Linked DNA regions of Mus musculus. The main gene of each other region encodes a partner of the protein of the gene in region 2 in a complex. Links are inferred from orthologs where the notes say so. Each region holds a gene or a part of one and is shown on either strand. Other genes may lie near its edges.

Evidence for each region.
Region 1: Pfdn2 (region 2) and Asdurf share a complex: the UniProt entries of both Homo sapiens proteins name them as parts of the PAQosome complex. The link is inferred for Mus musculus from reciprocal best matches to the Homo sapiens genes PFDN2 and ASDURF.

The regions. Positions count from the first base shown.
Region 1 is NC_000067.6:53,349,937-53,354,383, reverse strand, and holds the start of Asdurf (ASNSD1 upstream open reading frame protein), read left to right. Parts: upstream 1-1,631; 5' UTR 1,632-1,764; coding exon 1,765-1,854; intron 1,855-3,450; coding exon 3,451-3,504; intron 3,505-4,321; coding exon 4,322-4,397; intron 4,398-4,447.
Region 2 is NC_000067.6:171,344,189-171,348,725, reverse strand, and holds the start of Pfdn2 (prefoldin subunit 2), read right to left. Parts: upstream 3,052-4,537; 5' UTR 3,015-3,051; coding exon 2,940-3,014; intron 1-2,939. Other genes in the region: Nit1 (deaminated glutathione amidase), read left to right, coding at 3,157-3,158, 3,726-3,812, 4,187-4,438. UniProt on the Homo sapiens protein: Binds specifically to cytosolic chaperonin (c-CPN) and transfers target proteins to it. Binds to nascent polypeptide chain and promotes folding in an environment in which there are many competing pathways for nonnative proteins.

The DNA.
Region 1 (4,447 bases), about 120 Mb from region 2:
TGTGTGTTAAAGTCCCCCACAATTATTGTGTGAGGTGCAATGTGTGCTTTTAACTTAGTAAAGCTTCTTTTATGAACGCGGGTGCCCTTGCATTTGGAGCATAAATGTTCAGAATTAAGGGTTCTTCTTAGTAGATATTTCCTTTGATGAGTATGAAGTGTCCTTCCTTATCTTTTTTGATGACTTTTGGTTGAAAGTCAATTTTATCCTATATTAGAATGTCTACTCCAATTTGTTTCTTGGGACCATTTGATTGGAAAATTATTCTCAGCCCTTTATTCTGACATAGTGTTTGTCTTTGACACTGAGGTGTGTTTCCTATATGCAGCAAAATGTTGGGCCCAGTTTACATATCCAGTCTGTTAGTCTATGTCTTTTTATTGGGGGGATTGAGTCCATTGATGTTAAGAGAAATTAAGGAATAGTGATTGCTGCTTCCTATTATTTTTTATGTTATTTTTATGTTTGTGTGGTTATCTTCTTTTGGGTGTGTTGAAAGGAGATTACTTTCTTGCTTTTTCTAGGGTGCAGTTTCCCTCCTTGTGTGGGTGTTTTCCATCTATTATCCTTTATAGAGCTAGATTTGTGGAAAGACACTGTGTACATTTTGTTTTGCCATGGAATATCTTTGTTTCTCCATCTATGGTAATTGAGGGTGTTGCTGTAATAGTAGTCAGGGCTGCTATTTGTGGTCTCTTAGGGTCTGTATGACATCTGCCCAGGATCTTCCAGCTTTCATAGTCTCTGCTGAGAAGTCTGGTGTAATTCTGATAGGTATGACTTTGCATGTTACTTCACCCTTTTTCCTTACTGCTTTTAATATTCTTTTGTTTGTTTGTTTGTTTAGTGCATTTGGTATTTTGATTATTATGTGATGGGAGGAATTTCTTTTCTGGTCCAATTTATTTGGAGTTCTGTAGGCTTCTTGTATGTTCATGGGCATCAAATTCTTTAGGTTAGGAAAGTTTTCTTGTTTAATTTTGTTGAGGATATTTACTGACCATTTAAGTTGGGAATCTTCACTCTCTTCTATACCTGTTATCCTTAGATTTGGTCTTGTCATTGTGTCCTGGATTTCCTGGATATTTTGGGTTAGGAGCTTTTTGCAATTTGCATTTTCCTTGACTGTTGTTTCAATGTTTTCTATGGTATCCTCTGCACCTGAGATCTGCATCTGGTATGTCTTAAGACAGAGACAGTGAACTCATCATATACATAAAATAAGTAAATCTGAAGAAGAAGAGGAGGAGGGGAGGGGAGGAGGAGGAGGAGAAGGAGGAGGAGGAGGGGGAGGAGGGAAGGGACGAGAAGAAGAGGAAGAGAAGGAGGAGGAGGAAGAGGAAGGGGAGGGGAGAGGAGGGGGAAGGGGATGAGAAGAAAAAGAAGAAGAGGAAGAAGGAGGGGGAGGAGGAGGAAGGGGGAGGGGGAGGAGGAGAAGAAAACCAAATTTAAGAGTATTAAATTATAGTGATTTATTTTTACATAGGATCCACTAGGGGGCGATACAGACCATTCATAGATTCTGCAGCCAAGCCACACCTACATTTAGCAGAAAACCATTTTGCAGTGGAGCACAACTCTTAATTCGACTTTTCACAACCCACCCCGCGCGCGCTTGCCACTGCGCAGGCGTGAGTGTGCGCACTCCATTGGTCGGGGTGCCGGAAGGGGCGGATTCCTGAGTGGAACCCAGGCTTCCTGCCGGGGCTGCTGGCTGCCGTTCCTTCCTCAGTCGCGGTTCTTGGCGTGCGGCGCGGCTAGGCGATGCCCAGCAGTGGGGTGCACGCCGATGGCCGCGCCGCGCCGGGGCCCCCACACACATCGACTGCGCACGCCGAGTCCCTTAGCAGCAAGGTGCCGTGGGACGCCGGGGAAGGGTGGTGGGCGGCGGGCCCCGCTGTGCCCTGTAGCCTCCGCCGTGCATTCTCAGCACCAGCAGCTGATTCCCCTCCATCCTGCAGGTTTGCGACGATGGAGGCGTGTCCCCTGAAAAAAAGTGACACACAGATGTGTTGCTCAGTCACACACAGATCTGTTGCTCTGTGGCTGTGCTTCATCCAGTTAGCCACGCACCCGCCTGGGTGCCATCCATGACGTCCATCATAAAAGTTTAGAAGTCTGTACCTGTTCTTCCAGACTCAGGCAAAAGCTTCTTAGCCGATTTTCTCAGCTGCCTGTTACCTTAAAATATATTCTCAACTTTAAGTGATCCTAAAAACATCTGTTTGGTCATCTCTTTATTATTCAACAAGAGAAAGGAGCACCCTATCAAATTAATTTTTTTCTATACCTTTAGGATAGGATTTCATAAATAACTCAGGCCAGCCTCAGATATTATTGCTTAGGCATTACTTGAATAATTCTCTTGCCTAATAGCCAGGATTTCAGGGAGGCAACCCCATACCGGAACTAGTCCTAACTTCCAGTTACAGACGAAAATCTTTAAACGTGTAGAGTGGAAGGGTGTGGGTATAGTCTTTTCAGATATTAAACATTCCTAAATTCTGTATTTTTTCTGTCCTATATGATATCTTCAGTACATTGCCTAATTCCCGCTGTACCACAGTGTACTGTGGTGTCACCTAAAGTGACACCTGTCATTCCTGTAATGAGCATAAAAACACTGTACAAGCAGACTTGAATCTCAAGGAAAGCGTACTCAATATGGCTTTGTAGGTTATTAGTACAGCTCTCAGGACTTAATAGACTATTTGCCTAGCTTAACGATACCAGCAATATGCAGTCCTTAATACTTGAAATAGAATGATACAGTGGTGGAAAATCATGTTGGATCAGTGCAGGTAGGGCATTCAGTACCATAGTACCATTTCATTTGTTTTATCCGAATGTCTGGCTGTCATCTAGTGCATACATCATAAAACCATTGGTTGTTGGTAAAGAGGAGAACCCACATTCATTTTATTTCTCTCTTTTTGTCTACAGCAAGACCTTATAAAACTAAAAGATTGGGTTTTTGTTGTTTTCGGGAGAGGTTTTGTTTGTTTTTGGTTCTTTTGTTTGGTTGTTTTTTGTTTTTTTCAAGACAGGGTTTCTCTGTGTAGCTCTGGCTGTCACAGAACTCAGTCTGTAGACCAGGCTGGCCTCGAACTCAGAAATCTGCCTGCCTCTGCCTCTCAAGTGCTGAGATTAAAGGCGTGCGCCACCACTGCCTGGCTTAAAAGATTGGTATTAATTTGGGTAGGCAGTGGCTCACCCTGGTTAAAGATGTGAGCTGTGGTAACTGACCCCTGGCAAGCCTATGCTTCTCCTTCTCAAGCTGTCTTCTACTGATTCCAGACTGAGTGCTGTTGATTTGTTCAGTGTCCATTTAGACAGGCAGTCCATTATAGCCCCCAACCCCATCTTTAGTTTTAAAGCAGTGACTTAAAATGTTCTCGCTAAACATACTTTGAAATCTTCCACTTTAGATTTTTTTCTTTACTTTAATAGATTAAAGAACAGAAAATTATTGTGGATGAACTTTCTAATCTAAAGAAGAATCGGGTGAGTTGCTGTGGAAATCTGAATAGTATATTAAAATTATGATTTCGATTATTTATGCTAACATTACAAAATTCAAAGATCATAATTTAAAAGCTAACGTGGTATCCTAGTTTGTTTTTGCATGTTTTAAATTTGTTTTTCCTGTATATGTCAATAGATCTCAAAGATAAAAAAATATTTATTATATTTTAACAAAAAAGAATGAAGTTTTTCACAGAAAACTTTACTATTCTAAATACTTAACCCATTTAATGCCTTTTTTATGAATATGTTCAGAAATCAGCTGCGATTATGTAATGACTGACATTCTTGACATTTCTGATATTGTCATTTGGGATATATTAGATGCTAAGGCAAATTAATACAAATTTTTGGAGATCAAACTGTCAAAATGTGTAAATGCTGTTTGACACTTCTGAGTAACTGGTGTGTAAGCAGTTGTGAGGGTGCATGTGTGTTTACACGTAGAGGCGCTCATCAGCACCTGTAGTGACGATACAGTAAGTGTCTGAAGCTTGAGGCCAGCAAAGAACTATAGTGTTGTACCCATATGGTCAGAAAAGGTCTCCATGTATTATTCATTTATGAAGTAAATTATAAATCTGTGGCTATGATAGCTTTTGTTACTGAAAGTGTGTGGTATGATGATGCATGCTAAGTAAACAACCAGTTCTGGGTGGCGTAGTATTCAGTGGCTTTGTTTCTCTGTGGTAATTACTGTTCTGAATATTCCTGAAGTTCAAGAATAAATGATAACAGGATCCTGTTCAGCATCAGTGTGCATGTCATACCCTGATCTTGTCAATTTCGTTTGCAGAGAGTATACAAGCAGCAACAGAACAGCAACATATTCTTTCTTGAAGATCGAACAAAAATCTTTTCTGAAAGCAAAAGTGAGTGGTGGTCGTCTTGGTTTTTGTTTTCAGAGTTATATATGGAATGC
Region 2 (4,537 bases):
GATAATGCTTGTCCTCTTGGAATTCAGACTTAAGCCTTCCCCTGCTTTACCTCTCTCTTAGAATGGGAATGGCTACCCTTTGCCTGCCTCTGCATTACATGCTGGAAGTAAATAGCTACTTTTCATTGCACAGGCTCACAAAGCCAAGAATAGCAAGGCCTAAAGTAGCACGGTCTACACAGCAAGTTCCAGAGGGAGAGCCTATCTCAGACAAAACAACAATAGTAAACCAATAAATGATAAAGAACAGAAAATAAAACAAGCACCTAGTACGAAGTATTACCTGCTCCTATTTTCCTTGTGAGAGACACACTAGGCTAACACACACATCAGTAATAAACCTTAAATTGGGCTGGGAAGAAAATTTCACAGGTAAAGAGCCAAAGAACCAGGGTTTGAGCCCCAGAACACACTTTTTAAGAAGGAAGAGGAGGAGGAGGAGGAGAAAAAAGAAGAGGAGGAGGAAGAGGAGGAGGAGGAGGAGGAGGAGGAGGGAAAAAAAAGGCAGGCAGGCAGGCAGGCATGGTACTGAGGCATGAACTGCCTGGCACTGGAATGCTAGTGAACTTAAATTCTGAGGCTTGTTTTCCCAGTGCTGAGGAAAGGGAGGATCAATGGACTCTCTGGTCAGCCATCCTAGCCTACCTGGTGAGTTCTAGGCCACGTGAAAAACCCTGTGTCAAAGAACAAAGTTGACTGTATCTCTTTAGGTCTTGCAATATATCTCTTTAAATTCTCCAGCATTTTCAATGCCAAGCAGTTCATGGCTCAATGCTTTTGAACACACTACTTCTAACGAAAAAAAATCTTCACATGACTAACTTTTCCCAGCCTTTAGAATTAAGCCAAAAAATCTAGAAAATAAAAGGAAATTAGCATTTAGAAAGACTGTTCAGATTATGTGCGTGCAAGTGTGTCTGTCTGTGCGAGATCAGGTGCTCGAGTGCAGAGGCCATCTCTCCAGCTCTAAGTAGCATTTGTTAAACACACTATGTAGTCTCTGTATTTAGTCATGGTGGAAAAAAACAAAACAAAACAAAACCCAAATGGATTTTCTTGCCTAGTACTCTAGTTACGAAATGGAAAACTACTGTGCTTTTACAGATAGACGAGGGTAAAAGGTAACAAGAGAAATCATATATAAATAAGAAATACAAAGCAAGCACAGGTCATTCTGATTCTAGGCCAGGAAACCCTCCCAACCATTCCACTACCCGCCATTCCCTTGCCTACTTACCTGCCACATCCGAAATCTACACTACTTTGGACTCTCTCTCCAAACTGTGCAAGAAAAGTTCATTATGTGCAGAAGTTTGTAGTGTAGGGTTGGAGAAATGGCTCGGTGGAAGAACGATTACTTTTATAGCGGAGGACCTGGGTTTGGTTCTCAGCACCCTCATGGTAGCTAATAGGCAGTTATCAGAGGTTTTGACCACTCTTCTGGTCTCTGAGGGCTCCTGCACACATGTGGTATATGCACATACACATGCAAACACACATAAAGTCTCATTGTTTTGTTTTTGAGACTGTGTTTTACTCTGTAACCCAGGCTAGCCTGGAACTGACAGGGTAATCCAGGGGGATTATGGGTATGGGCCACCACACTTGGCTGTGACCAAGTTTAAGACAAGGTCTATTTCATTTACCTGTTCCTCTGGGTTAAGCAAAGCCAAACACAAGACGGACTCTCCAAAGCATTAGCATTTTTTCCTTCCCACTATGTCAGAGGCTACACCCTCTTCCATCTCCAGAATTCCCCTGCACTTCAGTTCTCCCTGAACACTTACTTTCTAACTCTTTGACAGTGTGGGTTTTAGACTCTTTATGCTGATGCTTTTACCTGTAGGAATTGTTCAACAACCAACTGACAAATGTACCTATGATTAAAATTACTCTTCTGGGGCTGGTGAGATGGCTCAGCTGTTAAGAGCACCGACTGCTCTTCCAAAGTTCAAATCCCAGCAACCACATGGTGGCTCACAACCATCCGTAATGAGATCGGACTCCATCTTCTGGAGTGTCTGAAGACAGCTACAGTGTACTCACACATGAAAGAAAGAAAGAAAGAAAGAAAGAAAGAAAGAAAGAAAGAAAGAAAGAAAGAGAGAGAGAGAGAGAGAGAGAGAGAGAGAGAGAGAGAGAGAGAGAGAGAGAAAGAGAGAAAGAGAGAAAGAGAAAGAGAGAGGGGGTGGGGGGTGGGTTCTGCCCTCTTCCGAAGTCAATCTTTGCAAAGAGAGCACACCGAGCAAGCTCGAGGCCAGCGTAGGCCACTTAGTAAGACCGTGTCTCAAAGACGAAATAATCCGAGCCTTTAATCGCAGTATGTGGGAGGCAGAGGCAAGCGGATCTTCCAGGCCAGTTTGGTCTACAAAGTGAATTCCGGAAAAGCCAAGGCCGGACCCGACCCTATAGCAACCCTCATCCCCACCTCCAAGACAAAACAAACAAACAAACAAACCACAGACTCCTTAGTCAAAATAATTTACGGAACACTAAACTGCTCAGAGTCTGAGTCACGTGGCTCTGCAGCGTGTTGGTGATGGTGAACACGGTTTTTGAGCCATGAACTACATAAGCCACTCACTGACTAAGAACAGCTTGGAATTCGTTACTAGATGCCACGCCAAACACCATACGCTCTTTAGGGTACCTCGGAGAGGGGGCAAACTACGATCCATCTTCTCAGAGACCTGGCCAACCCTCCCAGACCCTGCAGCTCAGGGCTTTCTCCCTTGACTACCCACCCACACCGCGGGCGTGCCTCTCCCCTACCTACCCAGGCTCTAGAAAGGTTCGTGATCACCTCCAGAGACCCCCTCTCCCCCGTGCGTGCCCATGGAGACCGTGGAAAGGACTAAAGGCCCCTTCGAGCCACAAATCTTATCTTCTACACGAATTCGACACCGCCCCGGGTGCCTTGTGCGCTCGCGGCTCCTCACCTGTTCCGCCGACACCGCCCCCTTCCCCGCGCCGCTCCCGCCGCTCTTGCCCACACGACCGCTGCTGTCCGCCATCTTCCCCACCTGCAAGCTTTCCGGCCTGCGCACTCTCACTGCGTCACATCCGGCCGGGGGGTTACCGCCCACTTGCTCCTGCGCTCCTGGCTCCTGGCAGCTCTTGAGATCCGACCCCGTGAATGGTTTTGGCTGTGTCTTCATGTAGGACCTACTCCCAAACCCTGCCCGCTGCGGTGAATTCCACCTGCGATGCTTTAACTTGTGCAACAGAGATTCTTGCCCGGGGGGGAGAGGCGGGGAAGGACGCGCTAATCAGAGGGCGGGGGCTCGGGTTGGGATCTGGTCCTGTACCCATCTACCCACCATGAGATGGTGGAGATCTAGGGAGGGTGAACTTTCCTTCTGAGATTCGGGTATAAGGGGAAAGATACGTGTTGAGTCTATAAAGCTGTGCAGGTGGCACAGCCGAGAAGAGAATTGGGGAAACGAGGAAGGTTCCATGAGATGACTTGAACTGCGGAAACGTTTGGCAAAGGAAAAAGGGCTTCAGTTTTAATGTGAGATCACTGGAAGTTGAGGTATTAAGGCACCGATCATAGTCGCCTCTCCCATTTTCCCATTTTATATCTTTTCCTAGCTACTAGTAGTAAAAAGTATTTTCGAAGCCTTGGGGGAGGGGATTACTGGCCAGGCCTGGAAATGGCAGAGAATTCTAGAAACTTACGGCTTGAAAGAGGGTTAGGTGTCCTGATTTCTCACCTTCTTCAGGCTGGGCTTCATCACCAGGCCTCCTCACCAACTCCTGTGTACCGGATACCGATTACTTCGAACCCCAGTACTTTGTACTCAGCCCAGGTAACATATTTCGTAATGTTCTCTCTCTGGCGCATAGCTGCTTAGTTCGTGTTTATTAACTTCATAGTGGGAGACAAAGATATCTCCAAACATGTAATGAGTGAACTCCAGTAGCTCTAGGGTTATTATGCTCTGTAAGAATGAAAACAAGTTGCTGGGGTCACCTGTAATGCCAGCACTCGAAAAAAAGGAGGATCAACCAGGAGTTTAAGGTCATCCCCAGTTACATAGAAAGGCCTGTCTGGGCTACAAAAGACCGTGTCTCAAAAAAGAAAAAAGTCAAAAGAAAATAAAGTTTCTGGCTCCACCCCCACTTGAGCCTCTGAGTTTCTCCTAGATAGAAAATCTGAGGATACTGCCTGTGTCATTCACAGGCCCAGAACCATGTCCTCATCAACTTCCTGGGAGCTGCCCCTGGTGGCTGTGTGCCAGGTAACATCAACACCAAACAAGCAAGAGAACTTTAAAACATGTGCTGAGTTGGTTCAAGAGGCTGCCAGACTGGGTGCTTGCCTGGCCTTTCTGCCTGAGGCATTTGACTTTATTGCACGAAACCCTGCCGAGACATTACTCCTGTCCGAACCACTGAATGGGGATCTTTTGGGCCAATATAGCCAGCTTGCCAGGTACAAGGGTAGGGTTTGGGGGGGGGGGGGTTGTGTGTGTAGAACTCCCTGTTGAGCAGTGTTCCTGGATTGCCACAGAGGGGGTAGAGTTGTGTGTGT